Linked DNA regions of Canis lupus familiaris. The protein of the gene in region 2 interacts with the protein of the main gene of each other region in a biochemical or structural test. Links are inferred from orthologs where the notes say so. Each region holds a gene or a part of one and is shown on either strand. Other genes may lie near its edges.

What was found.
Region 1: the proteins of FGF2 (region 2) and FGFBP1 form a complex in vitro, tested with the Homo sapiens proteins (2 studies listed by BioGRID and IntAct, with this or other methods). The link is inferred for Canis lupus familiaris from reciprocal best matches to the Homo sapiens genes FGF2 and FGFBP1.
Region 3: the proteins of FGF2 (region 2) and PTX3 form a complex in vitro, tested with the Homo sapiens proteins (3 studies listed by BioGRID and IntAct, with this or other methods). The link is inferred for Canis lupus familiaris from reciprocal best matches to the Homo sapiens genes FGF2 and PTX3.

Annotation. Positions count from the first base shown.
Region 1 is NC_049224.1:64,978,070-64,983,084, forward strand, and holds FGFBP1 (fibroblast growth factor-binding protein 1), read left to right. Parts: upstream 1-1,692; 5' UTR 1,693-1,844; intron 1,845-3,636; 5' UTR 3,637-3,656; coding exon 3,657-4,424; 3' UTR 4,425-4,779; downstream 4,780-5,015.
Region 2 is NC_049240.1:18,279,658-18,284,159, forward strand, and holds part of FGF2 (fibroblast growth factor 2), read right to left. Parts: intron 3,216-4,502; coding exon 2,648-3,215; intron 1-2,647. UniProt on the Homo sapiens protein: Acts as a ligand for FGFR1, FGFR2, FGFR3 and FGFR4. Also acts as an integrin ligand which is required for FGF2 signaling. Binds to integrin ITGAV:ITGB3.
Region 3 is NC_049244.1:51,505,812-51,510,969, reverse strand, and holds the start of PTX3 (pentraxin-related protein PTX3), read right to left. Parts: upstream 3,387-5,158; 5' UTR 3,300-3,386; coding exon 3,170-3,299; intron 2,726-3,169; coding exon 2,435-2,725; intron 1-2,434.

The DNA.
Region 1 (5,015 bases), on a different chromosome or scaffold from region 2:
TAAGGGTCAAGATGAATTTCTCATTTTGCAGAAGATCACTATGGTCTATTGCTTTCTGGGAAACAAAGCGGTTTTATTTTGCCTATGTCCAGATAATCATCCACTAAAACATCAGGTCATGGTTCAATAAGGTGTTCAGGACAATGGGGACGAGGGGGAAATAGCCACCTCCAATACAATTCATGAAGAAACTCTTTAAACCACTGAGTGAATTGATCAATATCCATACCTCTGTGACCTTGAAATTCCCAAATAGGTAGCTCTTGGATGAAAGCCAACCATAGTTAGGACTTTTGCATCTTTATTGTGAGCCAGGACACTGTTTTTAGAAAATCTCTATTAGATACCAACCCAATTTCATATCCACACATCTGGATGTTAATCTATTTTTTTAAAAGTACATGAAGTCTCCACATTTATTTTTACTAATGTATATGTGAAAAGAGTTCATGAGTTCTGAAAATACTGACCCCTATGCCAACATTCTCTCAGTCAATCAATGCTGGATGTTGACACTTAGATATCAGGACTACCCAGTTTGCCACAATCCCCATCATTCCTTTTGTCCCTGACCCCCAAAGACAAGGGTCAGTTGGCATTTACTATCACTCTGGTGTTATTGTTTCTTCAAACCTGAGTTAAATAGAAAATGAATGATTTCTTGAGTCCAAAAATCATGAAAGGTGAGGTGACAAAATGTAGTGAGATCCACATCTTTGTGAAATGAGTCTCCTTCAATATGTTTGTGAAAACTAAGTATGTCTGTTTTTAACAAATACACCTTGAAACCCCAGTTTGAGCCAAATCTGTTCTGCTTCATTTTATGTGAATAGCTTAGCCCCATAAAATATTTAATGTGAGCCCAAAATAAAGTACTGCTATTGTCAGCAATCTATAGATGAACAAATGGAGGTTCAGAGAGGTTAACTGGTTGGAGAAGGTCACACAGCCAAAAGAATACTATCTCCAGGATTCCACATAGATCATTCTAGTGTAAGACTCTCCCTATAGAACACTGACCAAAGGGAAGTCTGTCTGTGTGACCTGAAAGTGAATATTTACAGCAGAAATCCCCAGACCACTTTTAACCAGCCTTTCAAAACCATAGATTCCTTTGCCCCTATGGTAATTTCAGGTGCTTCTGTGAAAACGGACTTAGAAACTGGGATGGCTTTTCCAGTTTCAGTCAATCATTCACAAACATTTTCTTGAGACAGTGGGAAAGATCAGACAGTGCATGTGGGGAGTCCCAGTGCTCAATTCTGGGCTTCTCATCCTACCATCTCTGTGACCTTGGACAAGCCCTGAATATCAATACGCTCCAATTTTCCATCTGTAAAATAATAGGAATCCTTGTTACCATATCATGGGGTGGATATTATGGGAATTCAAGGACCACGTTAGGTAAAATGGGCAACACTAGGGCTTGGCAGCTATGATAGTTTTGTTATTGTTTATAATTCTCCACGGATTTTGCTGCCACAGTCCTCATCCCATTAGGAGGGACTTTGCAAGGCTGAACTGCTCGCCTATCCCGGCCCCTGGGGGAAAGGGAAGGTCTTGGAGGAAGCAGGTCTAATGTCCTGCAGTACCTCCCTCCCACAGGATTACACCATTACACCAACCACTTTCCCTGCAGGAACTGGCTCCCTCCCAAGGGGCGTGGCTGGGAGGAGTGTGATAAAGATAGACAGGTGTGTGTGTGTGTGTGTGTGTGTTGTAAAATCCTGTCGGTCTTCAATAAAAAGAGCCTTCCCTGCCTGGCACGGCAGATGAGACAGCTGTAAGCCTGCAAGCTCACTCTCACATCTGGGATTACACTGGATCTGCATACTCAGAACAAGGTAAGAGTCTGGCTCTTTTAAGAGTTTCAGTCCCCACCTTTCTTTTCACTTCCCTGAGGACCTCAGGATCCTGGGTTATGGATCTTATCAGGGACACATGGGGGCTGAGTCTCAATGCCCTGATGAAAAAGTGGGTCTTCACATGGCATGCCTAGGCACCTGTCCATGCTTCATTCAGGAGCCCACATACCTGTGACTGTCTCTCTTTCTCAATTCTGAGGAGAGGCCACAAGCCCAAGGTGGAAATAAGACCTGGACCATTTTCTGGGCCTGCCCCATATACAAGCAAAATCTATATTTTCTTTTTAAGTGGGGCACTGACAGTATGAATCATCTTATCATGAATTATACCAAATGAAACCCTGAGTAGTTTGTAACTTTATTTGTTGTCAGTATTTTCCAAAGGACAGAGTAAAGCTGAAACGCAATAAGTGAGCAAACTTGGTGGTTGGTGGTATAAAAGATCAAAGAGATAAGTTCTGGCTCCTTTCCCAGGTTTGTCACTTGCCCAATAAGGGATATTGAGCAATTTATTTACAGTATGAGCCTGAATTTTCACATCTGTTACCTGGGGTGATTTATTTTTACTTACCAAGCACAGCTTTTTTTTTTTTTTTTTTTAAGATTTTATTTGTTTATTTGAGAGAGAGAGAGAGCATGTATGCATGAGAGAGAGAGAGAGAGCGCGCACAAGCGGTGGGGAGTAGCAGAGCCAGAAGGAGAAGCAGACTCTCCACTGAGCAGAGAGCCTGATGGGGGCTGGATCCAGGATCCCAAGACCATGACCTGAGCCAAAGGCAGATGCTTAATGGACTGAGCCACCGAGGCACCCATGCAGTGATTTATTTTTAAAAGCATTGGTTGAGTGCTTTCTATATGCCCAGCACTGTGCCACCCAGGGCTCCAGAAATCATTTAGGTATCATCCTTCCCTTCAACTTCCTAATCTAAATGTTGTGGTAAAAATTCACCCCATCCAGGCTGGTTCACTTTGCGTAGTCAAATGGTATGACCTCCCCTCCTTCATGCCTTTCCTTATGCTTTTATTGCACCCTAAATGCCCCCCTCACAAACCCATCTATGTCAGAGTGTCCAAATCCCACACATGTTGAATGTCGGATCAAACGTCATCCTTCATGTCATTTGCCATGTCCATTCTTGTTGTGTGGTCACCTGAGTCCATGTAGAACTAGGTTAGAAATCTATCACATGGAGCCAGAGGAGACTTTGGGAATGATCACACCTAAAACCTCAGTATCCAGAGGAACTGAGACCAGAGGGGAAAGTGACTTGGCCAAGATCAAGTTGGGGACAGGATTGGGACAGACTCCTTGTCAATGCTATTTATATTGTTCAAAAATTTGCTTCTAATCTCTTTAAGATGTGACCTACTCATTCACATTAATAAAGCCAACATCTAGTCTGAGGCATGGTATATAGCAGATGCTCCATAAATGCTTGTTTAATGAGTAAATGAAGGAGTGAGTGAGTGAGTGAGTGAGTGAGTGAGTGAATGCAGGGGTAAAGGAGTAGTAAATGAGGGATGAGACTTTATTTGGCTCAGAGAGTGGTGAAGGAATGGAGAAAGAGTAGGAGGTTTTTGACATTCAGGACTCAAGTCAAGCAGAAATGTGAATAGATAGGCCGCTAGTCTAGTAATTCCAGGAACCAGAAGAATTCTTGATCTCACTTCTAAGCAAGGAGGCATGTGTCAGGGTATAGGGAGGGTCATCCTGCAGCACTGTATTGCTGAACTATTGCCCAGCACTGACTCACCTGCTCTTGTCAAACAGGTTCCCACCAAGCTGAAGACATGAGGATCCATAGCCTCACCCTGCTCTCCTTCCTTCTTCTGGCTGTTCAGGTATCATTGGTAAAGGGCAAAAAGGAAGTAAAAAATAGACATGTCAGCAAAGGCACCAGAGATAAATTGCGTGCTCTGGGAGAGACCCATACTGAGCCACACAAGCAACTGACCAAAGGCAAATTTGTCACTCGAGACCATGCCAACTGCAGATGGGTGGTGACTGAGCAAGAAGAGGGTATCGCCCTGAAGGTTGAGTGTACTCGACAGGATAACAAGTTTTCCTGTGTCTTTACTGGCAATCCAACTTTCTGCCTAGAGTCAAACAAAAAGAATGTCTATTGGAAACAAATTGGCCGGAACCTGCGTTCTCAAAAGGTCATCTGTGGGGATGCCAAAACCATCCTGAAAACCAAGGTGTGCAGAAAGAAGTTTCCAGAGTCTAATCTCAAGCTGGTGAACTCCACTCTGATTTGGACCAAGAAACCCAGCCAGGAATTAACAGAGCCCTCTCCCAGGGAGCAGAGCAAAGTCAGTAAGGCCTCCCTGGTGGAACCTAACAAGGTCAAAGAGTTATTCCCTAAGGAGCAGATAAAGGTCAAAGAGAACATCCCTTCTGGCTCAGTGGAGACCCAGACCATAGCCACCAAAGACCCCAAGTGTGAGGAAGATCCGGACTTAATAAAGCAGTCAAAGATAGCCCTGGACTACTGTGGGGAATCCTGGGGGTCTCTCTGCAAATTCTTCATCACCATGGTCCAGGGGAATTCATGCTAATGAGATCAAAAGAGAACAAAGTTCTTTAGGAGGTTTTATGTCAAAGCCCTTCAGTATGTGGTACAGTGCTCTGAATAAGATGAACATTTGTGCTATGAGAGTGCAGTGGAATATTTAAATGGGTTTTATAACTTTTGTTTTTGTGTTTTGGAGTTTACTTTATATTCATTTCCTTAAATTTTATTTTCAGAGGTTGTTTACCTCAGCATATGTTTCTACGGCTGACAAAGCTATGTGTATATAAGCAGTATACATTCTTTGATCTAAATGAACCAGAATGATGATTCCAGTGCATTGCACTTTCTGCTAAACTAACAAAGTTAATAAAGCTCTGGGTGTTTTTCAGAAATATGTTCAACCATTTTTTGTTTCTTTATGTATACTTTCAATGAACTCATAAACAGTCCCCATATATCAGTGGGAAAAATATGTAAGTAATGACTTTTTGTTCCCTACCCATCCTACGTCATTTCCAAATGTGACCCATTCCAGAATCTTTACCTTTATCCTTTCATCCACTGGTCTGTGGTGCTTGTTGCTTACTGTGCCGTAATAATTAGGATCCCTGATTTCAAGTGGGATAAATAAGGC
Region 2 (4,502 bases):
CTCAACATGAACCTAATCTGGAGGAGAGTTCTTCTGTCTTCTAATCATAGAACATACCTTTTTTATTTTTATTATTCCTTTTTTTAAAAGATTTTATTTATTTACTCATGAGACACACAGAGAGAAAGAGGCAGAGACACAGGCAGAGAGAGAAGCAGACTCCATGCAGGGAGCACTGGGACTTGATCCCAGAACCCCAGGATCCCACCCTGGGCTGAAGACAGTCGCTCAAGCGCTGAGCCACCCAGGCATCTCTATTTATTTTTAATTACAGACCATTTGTGCTACTAGAAAAGAACAATACTATTTGGGACATATAGGCACCTGGCCCTAATCTGCTGTGCTAACCTAGCAGCCAACTGCAAAATAAACTTCAAACACCAAGTTTAAAACTTAGGTTTGTGAAACCTATTCAAGTTACTAAAATAGAGAAACAGTACTAACACATATTTATTGGGTTACAAGCATCTTTTCAGTTTTACTGGATAATGTGGGTGCTTAATAAAATCCAAAAATTATGGCATGCCTGAAAAAAAATTAAAGACCTGTATCATTTGCTTGTTGCTATTTTGGAATCAATAAATACTCCAGCAATATAAAAGCACATTTCCCATTCGTTTGTCAACTCAGGTTGCTTGAGCTCAGGTCAACTCAGGTGGCCTCTACCTATGGCTCCGCAGGTGTGAATGACAGACATTCCATGAGCAACTTTTGATAAAGAGGTAACTGCTGTGGAGTGGAGCTCTGGACTCCTGCTGGTCTTTTGTCAGGCAAACAGAGGATTGGATTCTTCACCTGAAAAACCACTAAGGAAGGCCAGACACACAGCTTTTAAAACGGATGTTTTACGCTCTCTCACAGGATGACAGTTAAAATATACTGATCCTCTTTCCCTCATTTCAAATTCCATCAGTGCTGTTAATCAGTCCATTTCATGCCCCTTTCCTCCTCTTTTCTATACATCACTGGGTCTCAAAGTGTTGTCCCAGGTCAGCATCACCTGGGAACTATTAGAAATGCAAATCATCAGGCTTCACTCCAGCCTTCAGGAATCAGAAACTCTGGGAGACAAGGTTGGGCAATGGCTATAACCCCCACCCCCCAAGTGATTCTAACGTACCCCTCAAGTTTGAGAACCAATGACTGTAGGCTAGTGTTACTTCTATACCACAAATGGATTGTTTTTTACTGAACACAAAAGTGTACAGTAGTAAACCGAGTCCTCTGCGCACTTGGGAGAAATTCTCATCTGATCCTCAAACCTGATGCAAGGTAGACATTATCCCCACTTTAAGAATGAAGAACCTGGCTCAAGGTCCCGAAACTAATAACTGCAGGTGGAAGATTAAAGTTTTTGCAGTTCTTGTCACTATTAAAAGAAAAGTGTGTCACACTTTATTAACAAAGTCTATATCTTTTTTTTTTTTTTCAAAGTCTTATCTTTTGCCCTGAAAGCTTTCGGTAATTGGGAAAAAGGGGGAGGGGGGGGGGAGAGAGGAGAGGCTGTCCAGGAAGGGTTCCATCAATGGTGAGCACCAGCCTCAATGCAGAAGCGCTCCAGTATCTCCAAGGATACATTCAGGCGGCCAGTGTGACACTGCTTTGAACAGCACTTTCCAGATTGGCTAAGCCCACGATGGTTTCTGAGGAAATCACATAGATATCTGAGCATTAAAGCATTAAAGCAAGTTTTCCTTTTGAACTTGTCACAAATTCCATCTTGTAAAGAATATTAAATGTTGCTTTAAGCTTTTCCTTGGAAGGGAAGGGAAGGGAAGGGAAGGGAAGGGAAGGGAAAAGGTAAGGGAAGGAAAAGGAAGGGAAGGAAAGAAGTGAAAGGCACTGACACTGTCAGACGTCCATTCATTCCCACGACCCCATCCCTCCACTTCCGTTCCGTTCTGTCCGTCATCGCCGTCCTTCCTCCGGCCTCACTCCGTCCTTCCTTTCCCCCCCACTCTCCTTTTCCTTTTCCCTCCCCCTCCCTCCCTTTCCTCTGTCCCTCCCTCCCTCCCTCCCTCCCTCACTCCCTCCCTCCCTCCTCCTCCTCCCTCCCTCCCTCCCTCCCTCCCTCCCCTTTCCTTCCCCTCTCCCCTCCCCTTTTCCTGCCCCCCCCCCCTACGAAAATGCGATCCCTAAAAACACGACAAAGGACTGAAGAGAAAAGGGACGAGATGGGTGAGAGCAGTGTGCCAGCTGGCTCGGATCCTACCAAATCGGAGTTTAAGGGCACGACTCTGGGAAGGTATTTTTCCAATAAAGAGCATTTATTCCGCTTGGGTCCCTCCTGCTTGGGCTCCCGGGCCCGGGGCGCGCAGGGCGAGCCCGCCCACCTCCCCGCTCACCTCCCCGCCCACCTCCCCGCCGCTGGGCATCCCCGCGGCAACAGGTGGTCCGCGCGGGGGGGGGGGGGGGCGGCGAGGCCCGGGTCTACCCGGGGACCTGGCACAGCCCGGAGCCTGGGGAAGCGCCTAACCCGACGCCGCAGCTCCGGCGAGGAGGGGGCGAGCGGTGAACCCGAAACCGCGAGGGCCGCGCGGAAAGGAACCACACGTCCCGCTGCGGTCGGAGGGAAGGGAAGGAAGCGGCGGGAATGGGGCGGCGGGGGGACCGCAGGGAGCGCGGGGAAGGGCGGGCCGGCACTCACCGTGGGGATCGCTCTTCTCCCGGACCCCGTCCACCCGGCCGTCGGGGTGGATCCGCAGGAAGAAGCCCCCGTTTTTGCAGTACAGCCTCTTGGGGTCCTTGAAGTGGCCGGGCGGGAAGGCGCCGCTGCCGCCGTCCTCCGGCAGGGCGGGCAGCGTGGTGATGCTCCCGGCTGCCATGGCGCCCCCGGGGCTCTGCCGGGGTGTCCGCGCCCCCGGAGCCGCGCGAGGAGCCGCCGCCGCCCCCCGGCCCCGGCCCCCGACCCGGTCCGGGGCGCGGCCACGGCCCCGGCCCCCCAGCCTCCCGCCCGGCAGCGCGCGGCCGCGCCCGCGGGCCCCCAGCCTCGCGCCGCCCGGCCGCTCCCCTCGCCGGCTGCCCTGGGGAGCTGCGCGCGGGCCGGGATGCTGCGCTCGGGCTCGGGCTCGGGCTCGGGGAGCTGCGCCCGGGGCCGGGGAGCTGAGCACGGTCTCGAGGCCGGGGAGCTGCGCTCGGGCTCGGGGAGCTGCGCTCGGGGCCGGGGCCGGGGCCGGGCGTGTCCGCGGCCGCCGCTCGCGGGAGGGCCGCCTCCCCTAGCGCAGCGCCGGCACCAGCAGCCAGCCCCGGGCACCGCGTCGGCCGTCTGGCAGCGGCCGGGCCGCGGCGTCACATCTTCTACATCCCCACCCCCGAAGGCCCCCCGCCCCCCCGCGCCCCCGCTCTCCTCCCTTCCTGCGCGCCGCCCCCTCCTCGCTCCGGGCTCCGTGGGGCCGGCCTCTGGGTCGGGAGCCGCGGCCGCAGCACGCAAGCGCGCGACAGGAGGGGTGGGGGGGGCGAGCGCAGGGGGCGGGGAGGTGCGGAGGGCGAGCGGGGGGGCGGCCGCGGAGGCCGCCGCGGCTCTGGGACTCGACCCCGCGAAATTCCCCCGAGGTCGCGCCAGCCGGGGCGCACGGGGTCCGTCTCCGCGCTGCGGAGCTTTGGCTGTGCCACCCGCCGTGACTCTACTTTGAAACGTTTAAAGGCAACTTTCTCCCCCCCCCTTCTTTTTCCTTGTCAGCGATTCAAAGCCAAGAAACGATTTCCACTCCCCCCCCCCCGAAGTAAAGGAATCGGAAATGGGGGGGGGGTGATTCTGTGCCCCGTGTGGGTTTTGAACACCTCTGATCTCCAGAAGGGGCCTGCGTGGGGCGCACACCGGTAAACTTGAAGGCGAGGCTGAAATCTTTGACTAACAAAAGGAAAGAAAGAGGCCAGAGGAGGGGAGCAGACCGCATTGCTGGGAGTAAAAGGTTTTCCTTCTACCACCCTGGCTTGAAGTAGACGACGTGGAAAGACGAGGAGAGGCCTCAACCCCTTCTGTGATGGAAGGGTGCTGCTGTCTTACTCCGAAGCTGGCACTAGCCTTGGCGAAATGGCTAGGTGTTCCTAGGAGGGAGGGTAGTTTTCTGAGAATCCCAAACTACAAAATTGAAGTTAATTGGATTTGGGTAATTTTCAGTAGAATAGAACAAGTACTACGGATTAGTCAAATATTCATCCAGAAAGTTTCTTAGTCTCAAGTGTCTACTATATGCAAAGCATTTGCCTAAGTTCAGTGGGAGGTGCTGGATCCCACAGGACCTCCGGACAGAGGTGCGATCCATGGGCAGGATGAACACCACAAAATGCCCCTAGAAGAGTAAAATGAGGTGGTGGTGTAAGATGTCAGACAAGGGGTAATTCAGTTTTGGGGGTACAATGGGATTAGAGAAAGCCTCTAGGAATATGTGAGAATACCTCTATTTAGAAAGATGTTTGGTTTCAAAAGATCAGCGCATCAAAAGTATCTGCTCTAAGTCTCCATGAGAGGTTTAATGCATGTAGAGTAAATCTACATGCAT
Region 3 (5,158 bases), on a different chromosome or scaffold from region 2:
GCCGAGAACATATTTGTGCTAAAGAGCAGTGAGAAGGAGACATTCAGCCGTGGGTGGCTGGGAGCTCAGTAAAGTCCCACCTCAGTTCAGCTCCAGGTCACCTGTCTGGTCAGGGAGCTAGAGGTGCTGAACGGAAGCCCTTCTAGGTGTCTCTGGGAAATGTGCCAAAGCCTTTCATAGGTGAGCTCTGCTTTGTGATAACCTCATAGGCGTAGGAGAGATGAGAAAAAGAATTGTTTTTTTTTTTTTTAATCTAAACGAGGGCTAGCTATTCACTTTATAACAAACTAAAGATTTATTATAAAATAGCTCTGGCATGCAGGCGTCCAGAGCATTTAAAGACCAACCGGTGAGTGAATATACAGACCTTGGAGGCACCCAGCGTCCGTGCAGAGCGTGTTCAACTACGCTAAATGCCTGCAAGTGACTGGGGGGCTACGCTCGGCCCTAAAAAAAACCAAATAGCTGTGGACCTAGAAATAGTCAAAGAAATATTGAGTTTCAAAAAATCGTATCAAAGCACCTACAATACTAAAGCACAAATTGGTCCCGTCACGTTTTTGGTATTCTCTTTTTCACTGAAGAATTTGAATTTTTGAAGATTTTTAAGATTCATTCTTAATGAGACAATCTTTCTTCAAATGAAATCAGTACTTTCTTTTTTTTTTTTTTTCTGTGTTAATTAAGTGAAACAAAGATCACGGAGCAAAAGATCACCATATGCATAACCATTTGAGATATTATTCTCTGTAAAGTCCCAGTAAAGGAGTGTTCAAGAGGGGGCCTACTGCAGTCTAATTAACTGATTTCCTGTTTAAATAAACCCAGGCAGGCAGGATTGCATTCCAAAGCATTCCTTGATGGCCTCTCAGAGACTCAGCCTCCCCTGCAGGCTGCACTGGCTGTGTGAGTTACTGGAGTGGAATTTCGTGTTCACAGGTTTTTTTGTGGCTTTTTTTTTTTTTTTTTTTTTTTGGTGGGGACCAGTGATTGAAGCTCTTGATATCTCTTTAAAATGTCAGAAACTCTCTCATGAAATGGCTTTTAACTAATAGGTTTTTCTGATTATATTATCAAAGACCAAACAAAATTAAAACCAGGTTCTTAGGAGGCCGACAACAGAATAATTAGGAATCCCCGAGGAACCAAGCTGGCAGGAAACCAAGAGAGGGGAAATAAAACCATGTGGGTAGAAGTACTATTGGATGGAATAAGGAATTAGCATTCTAGAATTCAGAAATACATCCCTGTCTGCTCTAACCAGTGTACAGAGGTGAGTGAAAACTGGCGTTAATTCTTCAGTTTGGGGAGGGGGGGTGCATCATAGGTACAATCACTTTAATATGCTTTGCCAAAGACAAGAAATGTCACCCACTAGAATAGCCACAGAATTATGTTTTGTCTCCTTGTCACTTACACTGAGGAGCTAATCGTGTATTTGGTTTTATGCTTTTCCAGTCTCCGAAACTGTACTGAATAGTCCAGAAAATCTGCTCAGCATTGATAAAGTCCTCCAATACTTAGGAACGACTGACACCCTGCTATGGTTTCTGCAACTTTAAATGAAACATGCTCCCCCACATGCTTACCATTAGGATCCTTGCCCCCCAACAGCTGAGCTGCTTTATGGCCACTCTAAGGAGGGCGGCGCTGCTTGTAAGTCATCCTCCTCTGTTCCCGACGTTCTCAGGCACAGGAAAGCTGTTGTTTTCATACCTAAGTCCCTGATTTTCCCATATGGCCCAACAAAGGATTCCTGCGCCGCTATCTCTTAGAGATTTTGGCCTCCACAAAGGAGTGTTCTTTGGCTCCAAATCTCCTTTCTTTGACCCACCTTTCAAACGTGTTATTTCGGGCCCACATGTGTTTTTTGGAGATCCCTGTAGGATGGCAGGGGAGGAGGGGGGGCGACTTCAAGAAGTCCTATCTGGTTTGAACCGCCTCTCTCCTGTTTGCACCCCCATCCCTGCAAGTCCCTGGGGAGAGGAGGGTTCCCAGTGTGCTCCCGCAGCAGCCCATCTCACTGCGCATGTAGGGCTCCCCCGAACCTCCGGGACTTGAGGGGCCCCCTCGGGGCTGGTCAATCCCACAGGCCCCTTTTGGGGGGAGGCAATCCCGCTAAGCCCTTCAGGGGTCAGGTTCAGTCTCAAGCCTCAGGCTCAGAACCCGCACGCAGGGAGGAGGCAGGGGAGGGGGGGGCGGCCCAGGAAAGGTTCCCTAAAACGCAGGCTGGGCCCCGAAATAGCGCGGGGACCAGAGCCCCCCGAAACCTGGAGGGAGTGGAGAGCCCCGACGGAGCGGCCCCGGGCTCCGCCTTCTGCAGCGCGTTTTGGCGCCGCGCGGGGCGTGCGCAGGTGCGCGCAGGTGCTCGCAGGTGAGCGCAGGTGCGCGCAGGTGCCCCCCGCCCCCCGGGCCGCGCGCTCCCCGTGCTCACCTGCCGGCAGCCAGCGCCCGGCCGCCCAGCCCCGCACGGCGCGGAGGTCGGCCCGCGTGCGCCGCAGCTCCTCCAGCACCGCGCCCAGGGCGCGCCCCGGCTCCGGGCCCTCGGTCGGCGGCGCGCACGGCGTCCCCAGGCGGCCCAGCTCGGCGCGCAGCGAGCGCAGCTCTGCCCGGAGCACGGCGTCGGCGGCCTGCAGCATTGTGCCCTCCCGCGCGCGCCAGTCCTCCAGCATGATGAACAGCTTGTCCCAGCGGCTGAGCTCCGGGCGGCAGGCGCACGGCGGGGCTGCGGCGGGGACACGCGCGTCACCGCCCGCCGGTCCTCGCAGCCGTCCTCGTGGGCCTCGTGGGACCCGCGGAGCCCTGGGGCGCGGCCCAGGTGACCCCGAGCCCCCCCGACCCCGGGCTCCTGCTGCGACCCCCCCGACCTCCCCAGCAGCCCGTCCTCGTGGGGACCCGGCGGGAGCCTTTGGGGTGCGCGGCCGAGGTGACCCCGAGCCCCCCCGGCCCCCGGGCTCCTGCTGCGACACCTCCCCCGACCTCCCCAGCAGCTCGTCCTCGTGGGGACCCGGCGGGAGCCTTTGGGGTGCGCGGCCGAGGTGACCCCGAGGCTCCCCAGGGCTCCTGCTGCGAGCTCCGCCGCCCCCCGACCTCCCCAGCAGCCCGTCCTCGTGGGCCCCGCGGAGCCCTGGGGCGCGGCCGAGGTGACCCCGAGCCCCCCCCGACTTACGGTCCTCCGTGGGCTGCAGGCCGTGGTCGATCTCGTTGTCCAGGTCCACGTACATGAGCTCGTAGTCCCCCGGGCCCTCCGGCGACAGCGCGGAGCAGAGCGCGCACAGCAGCACCGCGGGGAGACGCATCGCCGCCGCCGGGGGACGCGAGGGGAGGGAGCGGGCGGGCACCGGGCACCGGGCGGACACCGGCGGACACCGGCGGCCGGCCCCGCGCCCCTAATAAGCGCCGGCAGCGCCTGCGGGGAGCCGGGGGTCAGCGCCGTCCCGGGGCCCCCCCGAAGCGGGGCGGGGGCGGGCGGGGGCGCGGGGGCGGGCGACCCGGGCCGGCACGTTGCACAAGAGCAGCCCGCCGGGGGCTATGCTGCAGCCAGATTAGCGGGAGGAGGGTCAGAGGGGAAAGAGGTGGGGAAACTGGGCCGGGACCGTCCCCACGAGGGCTGGAGGGGGGCGGGGAGCAGGCCTGGCCGTGCCCCCTCTGCGCCCCGCTCCCGCGCCGCAGCCCTTGGGGGAGCCTCGCCCCTTCCCGCGCGCGGCCTCCCGGGGCGGAGCGGGGCTGCTGCGAGCTGATGCCCAGGGGGACCGGCGTGCGCGGGAGGATGCGGGTGCTGGGGGCGGGCCCGGGCCCAGCCCCAGCCCAGCCCCAGCCCCAGCCCCAGCCCAGCCCCAGCATCTGGGTCCCCCTGCAGGCGCGAGCCCGCTCGCAGGCTCCCCGCAGGGAGGGGCTCACCCACCCGCAAACCTCGAGGAGGACGGCACCGGGGGAGAGGGAAGCGCTGACTTTAGGAACGTTGCTCTTCCTGAGCTGCTGTGAGGTGGAAATTGTATCATCCCACTGGAGATCACGCTCCTAAAGTAAGTTTAGGAGGAACCTCCACGCAGGTTTCCAGAGTGACTGCACCAGGTCACATTCCCACCAACAGTGCAGGAGTAAAAATAAGTAAATAAATAAATTAATTAATAAACAAATAAATAAATATAAATAAATAATATAAATAAATTTAAATAAATAAATAATAAAATAAGTTTAGGGATTCCTGCTTCCTTCGAAATGTGAAGGCCCAAATAAGCTGAAAACTCTCCTGCACAAAACACCTAGGAATGCATTTACATTATGATGACTTTTAAAAATTTTTTTTGCAATAATTAAATAGGGTTTTACTTTATTTATTTTGTTTGTTCCTTTTTAAATAATTTTACTTGTGTTCAATTTGTCAACGTACAGAATAACACCCAGTGCTCATCTCAAGTGCCGACTTTTTAATTTTTAAAGATTTTATTTATTTATTTATTTATACATGAGAGAGACGACAGAGACAGGCGGAGGGAGAAGCAGGCTCCATGCAGGCAGCCCGATACAGGACTCGATCCTCCGACCCGGGGTCACGCCCTGGGCCAAAGCCAGATGCTCAACCGCTGAGCCACCCAGTGATCCCACTATAATGAAAACTTTAAATGTACAGATGAGCTACAGATAATGTAAGGGAAACCTCCAGGAGCCAAAGAAAGAGGTGTGGGGGGTGGGGATCCAAGACCAACCCTGTAAGCCTGAGAGCTGATGCTAGCCACCCCACCTCCCAAATAAAGGGAGGTAGGGGTCATAGTTTTGTAGCAATCCAGTGCTAAAACAGTGCCCTCGGGAAGATCTCCCATTCCTGAGTCAAGAAATAGGTATAAAAATTACAGCATCCTACAGCACTATTGGTAAAAGCTAAGCATCATCATCATCATCATCATCATCATGTCTTTCAACCATAGAGTGTATGAATAAATTGTTGCCTGCTTACACGATAGAATGCCATACAACTGTGAGAGTAAGCGATGGAGAGCTTCCTGGAGCTAAAACTTCAACACAGTGCTGAATGTAAAAAAAAATTAAATATTGCAAAGACATTTGCATAGTATGAATACCACTGACAAAAAATTTTAAAGCCTGCAAAACAACACTATAAAATGTTTGTTGGTCTATACACGTGCAACTGAAATGT